2 linked regions of the Danio rerio genome follow. Each later gene encodes a partner of the first gene's protein in a complex. Links are inferred from orthologs where the notes say so. Each region holds a gene or a part of one and is shown on either strand. Other genes may lie near its edges.

The links.
Region 2: the proteins of adat3 (region 1) and adat2 are in contact, whole or in part, in a crystal structure (PDB 9HMM), measured with the Mus musculus proteins. The link is inferred for Danio rerio from reciprocal best matches to the Homo sapiens genes ADAT3 and ADAT2. Residues at the interface, in NP_001094076.1 of Mus musculus: Val217, Ala218, Pro220, Leu221, His223, Ile229, Asp230, Ala233, Gln236, Gly237, Glu270, Ser272, Pro274, Val276, Val290, Met291, Met294, Ala295, His298, Ala299, Pro311, Asp312, Leu318, Phe319, Val321, Arg324, Asp326, Leu327, Asn328, Pro349; in NP_080024.3 of Mus musculus: Val62, Asn63, Lys66, Asn67, Ala68, Thr69, His71, Met74, Ile77, Leu81, His85, Pro91, Cys107, Ile108, Met109, Ala112, Ala113, Leu116, Met117, Arg130, Phe131, Val137, Leu138, Ile140, Asp144, Leu145, Pro146, Asn147, Thr148.

What each region holds. Positions count from the first base shown.
Region 1 is NC_133184.1:42,766,581-42,770,948, reverse strand, and holds the start of adat3 (probable inactive tRNA-specific adenosine deaminase-like protein 3), read left to right. Parts: upstream 1-1,425; 5' UTR 1,426-1,483; exon of another isoform or gene 1,484-1,535; intron 1,536-1,747; exon of another isoform or gene 1,748-1,911; intron 1,912-4,368.
Region 2 is NC_133195.1:41,038,052-41,042,675, reverse strand, and holds the start of adat2 (tRNA-specific adenosine deaminase 2), read left to right. Parts: upstream 1-1,772; 5' UTR 1,773-1,855; coding exon 1,856-1,948; intron 1,949-4,624. UniProt on the Homo sapiens protein: Probably participates in deamination of adenosine-34 to inosine in many tRNAs.

The sequences.
Region 1 (4,368 bases):
ACAGCTGTGAGTTCACTGGGTTCAATAGCACTTCTGTTAAGAGCCTCCTGGACCACTCTGGAGATGTTTTCTCTGTGTAGGCGTTGGGCCACTAATGGGATAATTCCACCCGTTCTGGAAGAGCATTATTAAGTGAACAACACACGCATAGCATGAATTAGAGTAAGTTTATACCGTTTCAGATTTTAGTTTAAAATATGAGGCAGATTGTATGTTTTTTTGGATTTTTCAGTCACCCTTTGCTTTAAAAAAAATCCTTTTTGAGAGTTTGCAGTCTAAGTATCTTGAAATTATAAGGGGTATTTTTTATCATGAACTACTCAAGGGAATGTATGTTGCTCTTTTGTGTGGATCATGATGATTAAAGTGCAGTTGCTGCCTCTAATATTAAATCACTGCAGATTCAGCCTGCGATAAAGCAAAGAAACAGTTTGCTCTGCAACATTTTTGCATTCATGAGCTTGTAGTAAGCTTACGAGCAAATTAAAGTGAAAAAAAGACTTAGAATCGATGATATATGATATACATGATATATTGTTATTGTGAATTCTTTATATATATATATATATATATATATATATATATATATATATATACATACATACATATATATATATATATATATATATATATATACATATATATATATATATATATGTATATATACATATATATATGTATGTATGTATGTATGTATGTGTATGTATATATATATATATATATATATATATATATATATATATATATATATATATATATATATATATAGTTCACAGTTCATAGTTCATATACATATACATAGTTCACAGTTCATAGTTCATATTCATATTCACAGAATTTCTACAAAGTATGTTGTATACTGCAAACTCGCAGACTTTTTGGGTCACATCTATAACGCATGAAAAAACTAAACAAAATATAATTGGTTTAAGTACTAAAACAGAAATAAAAATAAGACAGCTAAAACTAAAATAACTATGACAATGAACAATAAATTAATTATTGTTAATTAATCAATTGTTAATTGTAATTAATAATTTAATTAATAAATAATAATACAAACTATTAATAAATGCTGTTATAATATAGTAATATTAATCAAATACTGTTTGCGGTATATATTATGTATTTTTGGTGAACTCAAGAACATTGAAAATCCTTTAAATTATTGAACATGTTATTTTTGCATGTTTTTGTAGCAACTGAGGAGTTTTCTGAAGGCTGTGACTACTATACTTACTTCAGGTGTGTCTCTTTCTGAGAATGCAGAGATTCACCCAAAATCCTCCCGGTCTCGTCCAGCACCGCCGCCCCGGTCTCATCGCAGCTCGTCTCGATCCCCAAAACTAACCTGGGTCTCGTTGAAGTGCTGAAGACTCTTCTGCTCCAGGACCGCAGAGCTCCAGGCAGACAACTCTGAAACATGCTGCTGTTAACACCGATAGTAGAGCACTTACTGACTGCTTCAACAACAACCTGACAGGTTAGATACGCTTTAACAATTGGGGAAAACTGGTGTTTCTTGGACCATTTTATTCGTTTTAGGAGCCTGTATGAAGAGAGAGGTTACATATAAACACGTCCTACTTACAGCAGGTCAACTTGGGTTCCGTTAGATTATGTTAGATATTTTTTTTCAATATTGAATAAATAACTTTAAGTCTATGGTATGTTTGAAGAATGAATAAATATGCTAATCATAATATCGTTGTTTAAAGTATAAGTAAAGTTCAACACGGGAACCATTATCGCTTACGCTTGTTTCGAGTAGGAAAATAATACAAGAGGAACGAAAGCTCACATGGAAGAGATGTTGTATTCTGAAGTACTTTGGCTGCTGTAACATTGTTTTTATAATTATTATCACTTGTTTTTTTGGCATAGTTGACGTCCACTGCTTTTTCCAATAAGGTAACTTAATGCTCTATTGTACCGCGTCCATGTGTTGTGTTTAGAAAGTTGACAGTCTGATATGGACAAACACTATGGACAAACACAGAAATACATAATATATAGATTTTCTTTGTTAAAAATAGAATTATAATGGGTAACACTTTACTTTGATGGTCCATTTGAGTATTAGTAGACTGCTTAATATCTGTTGATACTGCTCCTTCAACAGACATTTAACTGACTATAAGAAACTTTGCGAGTACATGTCAACTTACACTAACCCTAACCTAACAGTCTACTTATAATCTAATGAAAATTAACTTAGTTGGGATGTAGATGCAGTGTAACTTAAAATCAACAAACGGGCCATCAAAATTAAGCGTGACCTTATAATATGACTATAACATATAGTTGAAGCAAGAAAATGACATATACAGGATTTCTATATTATTTATATAAACGTTAGATGCAAATAAAGTGTCCACTTTTGTGAAGTAAGCTTTTTCATAAGTATAATGTTAAAATATGGGTTAAATGATGTCTCGTTGTCATAAACGTAACAAATGGTTTATCTAAAGATGAAATAACATACTTATTCTGACCTGTACTTATTAAAATATCTAAAATAGTAAGTGATAAAAATACATTGTATTAGATTTAAATGATTTGTTTTGCTTTCAAATGGTATTGGTTCACTGAATGTCTTGGAGTGCATGTATTTAATCTGTATTTTTTTAGGGAAAAAAACAAGATGAAACGGGACATTTTAATGCACAGGTGTCAAACTCAGTTCCTGGAGGGCCGCAGCTCTGCACACAGTTTAGTTTCAACCCTAATTGAACACACCTGATCCAACTAATTGAGTCCTTCAGGCTTGTTTGAAACCTACAGGTTTCTCAGGTCAGAGTTTACCAAGCTTGCAAACCTGCGAAACTTAAGGCATGACCCTGCGTTTCTGGTATGACGCATTCACGTGCGTATGAATGGAAGTGTATGGGAGGAAAAGCCCAGTGTGACCGCAGCTTAAAGCTGCAGTCACACTAGAGTTTGTGCGTGCGAAATTCTGTCGTACAGCTTCTGATGTAAGGGGCAGGATTAAACAAGATGATTAGACATTAAAAAAGAGAGAGAGATAGAGAGAGAAAAGATCTGCGAAACTTGACACACAAGCTTGCGTTTCCAGTCTGAAGCGTTCGCCTGCATATGAATGGAAGTCTATGGGGAGAAAAGTCCAACGTGACCACAGCTTCAGTGTGTTGAAGCAGGGTTGGAACTAAACTGTGCAGGGCAGCGGCACTCCAGGAACTAAGTTTGACACCCTTTCCTTCAATTATTTTAAAATCAAGTATTGCAGCCTTCATTCAAAAGTCTCTCATTTGTAATATGTGAGCATTTTTACTGTACAAAATTTGTCTGTGAACTAAATAAAATAATCATTTATTCATCAAATCGAGTTTAAATATGCAATAAATCGAGATTTAGATTTTAAACCAAATCTCCCAGACCTAGTATATAATAATACAGTTTATACTGCAAAATAATTGTTCTGTCCTCATTATCAGTTAAGATACATTTCTGTATTGAACCTGAGTCAATTTGGAGTCTTAAACTCAGGTTTCAGCAGGGTGTTTTCACACCTCTACTTTGGAAAAAGTCAGAAAAGTGGGTGTGTCCAGCTTTGTTTAGGGGGGAGTGTCGGAGGAAGAAAAGAGGCATAATGTGGGAGCTGACTTTCAGAGTCAAAACACACACACACATAGGGGACGAAGTGACTGTGTTTACATGGACATCTGTAGTCGAATTATTTGCCAAATTATTAAATAGTGGACTTTAACTGCAGTTTGGCTCTTTCATTCAGGGAATTCATTCATGTCCCTCGCGACAAACGAGATATTTGATTCGAGGAACTGCTGTAAGCGTATATTTTTCATGCAATGTTTGATACCGCACAGCAAATAAGAGAATAAACACCCTCCGCATTTAACGGAAACTTAGATGCACTCGGCAGGTAGCGTCAGAAAGCCGTTTGTGTTATTCCGGTCACAAATGCGGTGAAAATCCTACATGAGGTAAAAGTTTGGTTGTGGTGCTAACATGTTTACACTCGGTGCAATAGTTAACTTAGATACGAACAAACTGAATAAACAGAGAGCACTGGTCACTCACTTACCAAATCTGTAGAGACAGGACAATCACCAGCAACTAGAGCCGCGTCTTTATTAAGAGGAGACTACAAGAGATCCGGATCTCAGCGTTTGCAGATGAGAACAGCTCTCAGGTAAACAATAATCCTCCTTAGACATGTAAGTTATTGTTGTCGAGCGTCGCGTACACTGTTAATCCACACGTGACTCCAGCTGCGCTCTCACAGAGAGAAAATGAAAACAAAACTTAACTGCAGCAAACTATAAAAGCAACACTTCATGCTTGTTTTGCCAACACAATGTAGCGTCTCTGTCGTCTAAACACTCTGAC
Region 2 (4,624 bases), on another chromosome or scaffold:
CCTCGTGTTCTCGTGGGTTTCCTCTGGGTGCTCCAGTTTCCCCCACAATCTAAAGACATGTGCTATAGGTGAATTGAATAAATTAAATTGGCCGTAGTGTATGTGTGCATGTCAGAGTGTATGATGAGTGTTTTCAAGTGCTAAGTTGCCTGCTGAAAGTGCATCCGCTGCGTAAAACATATGCTGGATAAGTTGGCGGTTCATTCCGCTGGGGCAACCCCTGATTAATAAAGGGACTAAGCTGAAAGAAATGACTGAATGAAAAAAAAAACAATAGGCGACACAGTGGTGCAGTGGGTAGCAAGATTGCATAAACTAAATTGGCCATAGTGTATCTAGTGAATGAGGATGTATGGATGTTTTCCAGTCTTGGGTTGCAGTCGGAAGGGCATCCACTGTGTAAAACATATGCTGGATAAGTTGGCGGTTCATTCTGCTGGGGCAACCTCTAATTAATAAAGAGACTAAGCCGAAAAGAAAATGAATGAATGAAAAAACAATATATGACAAACTACATAAAAATGAGAAATAATCTCACTTATAATCTTTAGATCCTCCCAGATTTCAAGTTTATTTGCTGGCCTGTAGAGAAAGACATGATCACTTGCGTCATTTATATTCTTTTACGTTTATAATGTAGTTAAGCTTCTACAACACACACACACACACACACACACACACACACACACACACACACACACACACACAAACACAAACACACACACACAAACACACACACAAACACACACACACACACACACACACACACACACACACACACACACACACACACACACACGTGCATAACTCACTTAGTCTTCAGCAAAGCAGTGAGACTCTCTGAGTTCAGGTGATGGATGATTGCCTCTCGGAGAGTGGGGAGCATTGATAACACTACAAAAAACAAATTACATACTCCATAAATAATTATAACAACATAAACATCAGTTATGGCGGTATTTAGTTTACCTGTCATGTTGCATGTCCTTTGGTTGCTTTCAAAATGAAACTGTCTCCGAGCTTGAGCAATGTATTCAGCTGCCTCTCGCTCCTGCATCTCCTGAATTTTTCTCTGTGCATATTTACCAAGCAGATAAACACCTGCAAATAAAAAGTTTGAGATTACAATATAGTATAGCATCCATGTTAACAAAGTGATATGCTGCAAGCAAGAACTATTCAGTTAAATAAAGCCTTTCTGTTGACTAAAAATACCAGGGCAAAGTCCATTTCAACTTTGATTTGACTATGCCAATAGAAAAACTAGGTGACAGGTGAACTGAGATTGAAGGGCTGAATGTGGAAAAAATATATAATGGTTGTCAACACTGTAATAACACGCTAAACTACACATCACATCATATTAACATGCTATAGCTACAAGTATTTTATTAAAAACAAGAAATAGTTACAGCTAGTGAACAGTCACTGATATGTATGCATGGATGAGGTTCAGTTGCCCACGTTAGTTACCTCCAACAAACACCCCAGTGAAGATGAATTTCCTCTTATGGCGTTTGATGAAATTCCATGTAGAACTCAACATTTTAACAGACTTGACACCGAAAATTAAAAGAAATAAGAGAAGCAAGAGCGGGTTTAGACGTAACTCACTAGCTAGCACAATGCTACATGGCAATAAGTTCTCATGTTAGCTGCAGACAGGCTAACTGCAGATAACAGATAGAGTCTATTCGGTCGATCGATTACTCGGTCTGTTCACCACCCTGAGGTGTCCATCGGTTATTACAGTCCTCCGTAAACACGTGCAGGGAAAACGCTGTTGTTTTTTATATTTGTGCTGACTTTACTTTATTTGTACGCTTACAAGTTTGTTATTGACACGTATATAGGGATGCAAGAAGTCGGTGTTGATCCCGAGAAGAATGATTTTCTGCAGCCCTCAGATAGTGAGGTACAAACATGGATGGCAAAGGCGTTTGATATGGTAAAGCTTCTTTGGTGTTTAACGTTTCTTTTATTGAGGTAAAGTTGGTTTTATATTAGGACATTCTGAATTTTTCCCTTAATAATATAATTTATTATAATATAAATTATAGTGGGTAGTGCTGTTGCCTCACAAGCATGAAGGTCGCTGGTTCAGTTGGCGTTTCTGTGTGGAGTTTGCACGTTCTCCCCGTGTTCGCGGAAAAAATACGTACTTTTAGAACCACTTTGCTTTTGGAACTGGAATTCCAGAAGGGAACAGACTTGACTGCTACACCGGGTTGCGCACCCCTGCCCTAAAATTCACTCCATCTGAAATGTTCATCTATTAACTAAAATTGATTAAAACAATAATAGTACTAGAGTTATGACAACAATGAGAGTGACTGAGTTGAGTTTCATTAATGGAACCCTTCCCATAGAGAAGATACATGGATAAATAGATCAATAAACTCACTTTAAATACAATGCCGATGAGATTAAGTAAATTGTGTAATGGGTGGTTTAGTTTAAACCAGCAACAACAATTTTATGTGTTCCATGTTACCTAAATGTCTGTTTAAAGCCCACCAAAAAGCCTAATTTTAGGCCACACTACAGTCATTACTATTATTTTACATTTATTTGTTAACCTAGCGCATTTAAAATTTGCTTAACTTCTTGTCCTTGTTTTATCCATCATAATAATAATTTTATGTTTTAATCAATTTAGATAAAAAAAAAAAAAAGAATTTTGACTGAGAATGTTAATGAAAGTCTATGAGGGAATGCATTTTGCGTCAGCGGTGTATTTCTCGGCACAACACTGGTTTCCCCCACAAGTCAGAAGACATGCTGTAGGTGAATTTGGTAAGCCAAATTGTCTGGAGTGTTTGTCTGTGAATGAGTGTATGGGTGTTTCCTAGCAATAGGTTGCATCACCTGCGTAAAAATATGCTGGATGAGTTGGTGGTTCCTTCCACTGTGGCGACCCCTAATTAATAAAGGGATTAAGCTGTAAAGAAAATGAATAAATGAATATCATCAGCCAATGACTATCAGAGCACAACAGTGCTCACTCACAGTCGATCAAATAGTGCTAATGTTGTTCTTAAGTCCTTTTTACATGTGGTTTCACACAGAATAAGAAAAATACCATGGTAAGCAATATAGGGATCGTGTCACAAGTTGGCACTAAACAAATGTACCAATGTAAAACCAACTTTACATTACCCTTAATGTTTCTTTTTCAGTATTCATCATGCCTACTGTCATATCCTCTTTTAGTTATTGCAGTACAAAGTTATAGTTACTGTGAAATCACAATAATTTAACTTGTTGCATTTGTTTTGGTCAAGTTAAAATATGCTTTAAGAAAGATATTAATACTAATTACAGTGTTTTTAAAATAGTTTTTTTTCCAAAGAATAATTATTGTCACTTGTCTTTGAAAGAGAAAAACTATTGTGTGTATTGTTATATGCAAATTATTATTTATTTTCTATGAAGACCATTTCAATGTGTTCATGTCATTGGCCCGTGAACATTTCCTGCTTGTTATCAAACTATTTCATAACTGTAACAAGAGGCAATTCAATCAAACCTTAATGTAAAACAGCTATCACAACATTATTTATCAATATGTGGCTCTTTTTGGATTCTCAGAAGCTATAGACCAATTACCATGTTTGTAAACATTCAGGATGCGCACGCAGGGAGGTGGCAGAAAAAAACGGGATTGCCAGCATTTACAGCGAGGGAATGACATCAGATGCGGTGCAGAGTTTGTTGTTGTCTTAGAAATAAAATGTATTACTTACACATTATATATATTATTTACATAATGCTTTCAGTATATTATAACAGCTCGTCACCCAGTGACAAGCACAGTGATTTGGCAAAATTAACGTTAAAGTGAGAGGCGTTTATCTGACAGGTCCATTTGCGATAGCACCCTCCCAATGAATATTGGATAAGACGAAGTGACCAAGCATCCAGCCCGAAATATACAATCTCATTGAAGCTCCAAGTGATTTTACAAGAGAGAAGTTAAAGGTCTACAAGTCTTTGGATGCCAACAATGTTGTTCTTTGTGGTCATGTGCAAGAAATAATGCTCCATGATGACCAGATTCAACACTGTATAGAGCTAAAAACTGAGATTCTGCTCAGCCAAAGACAAGCAAACAAGACGGAGCTAACATTATACAAGGCCTGGGTAATTAATCACCAACACGCAAAACGACTGCATTCTGACAGTGAACTTCACCTGTACGGCAGGGTATGTGAACACATAAAGGTAAAGTTGGTTTTATATTTGCACATTCAGACTTTCTCTTTAATAATATAATTTCATAAAAATATTATTTGTAAACTGTAAATAGCGAAATCATATTAGCAGCAGTCAATGACTATCAATATACAACATTGTTCACAGTCAAATAAACAGTGCTAATGTTGTTTTCAAGTCACACTTGCAGGTTATTTCAGACCGAATATTCAGAGTGCCGTGGTAAACAATATAGGGAGTTTGTCACAAGTTGTCACTGAATGAATGCGTGAATATAAAACTAAGTTTACCTTAATAAACATAACTTTCACGTTTCATGCTTAGCATTCAGTGTACGCAGTTTAATTAACCATATTTAACTGTTTTTGCTGAAGTCATTTCTGCAATCAAAAACGAGTAATGTGTATGA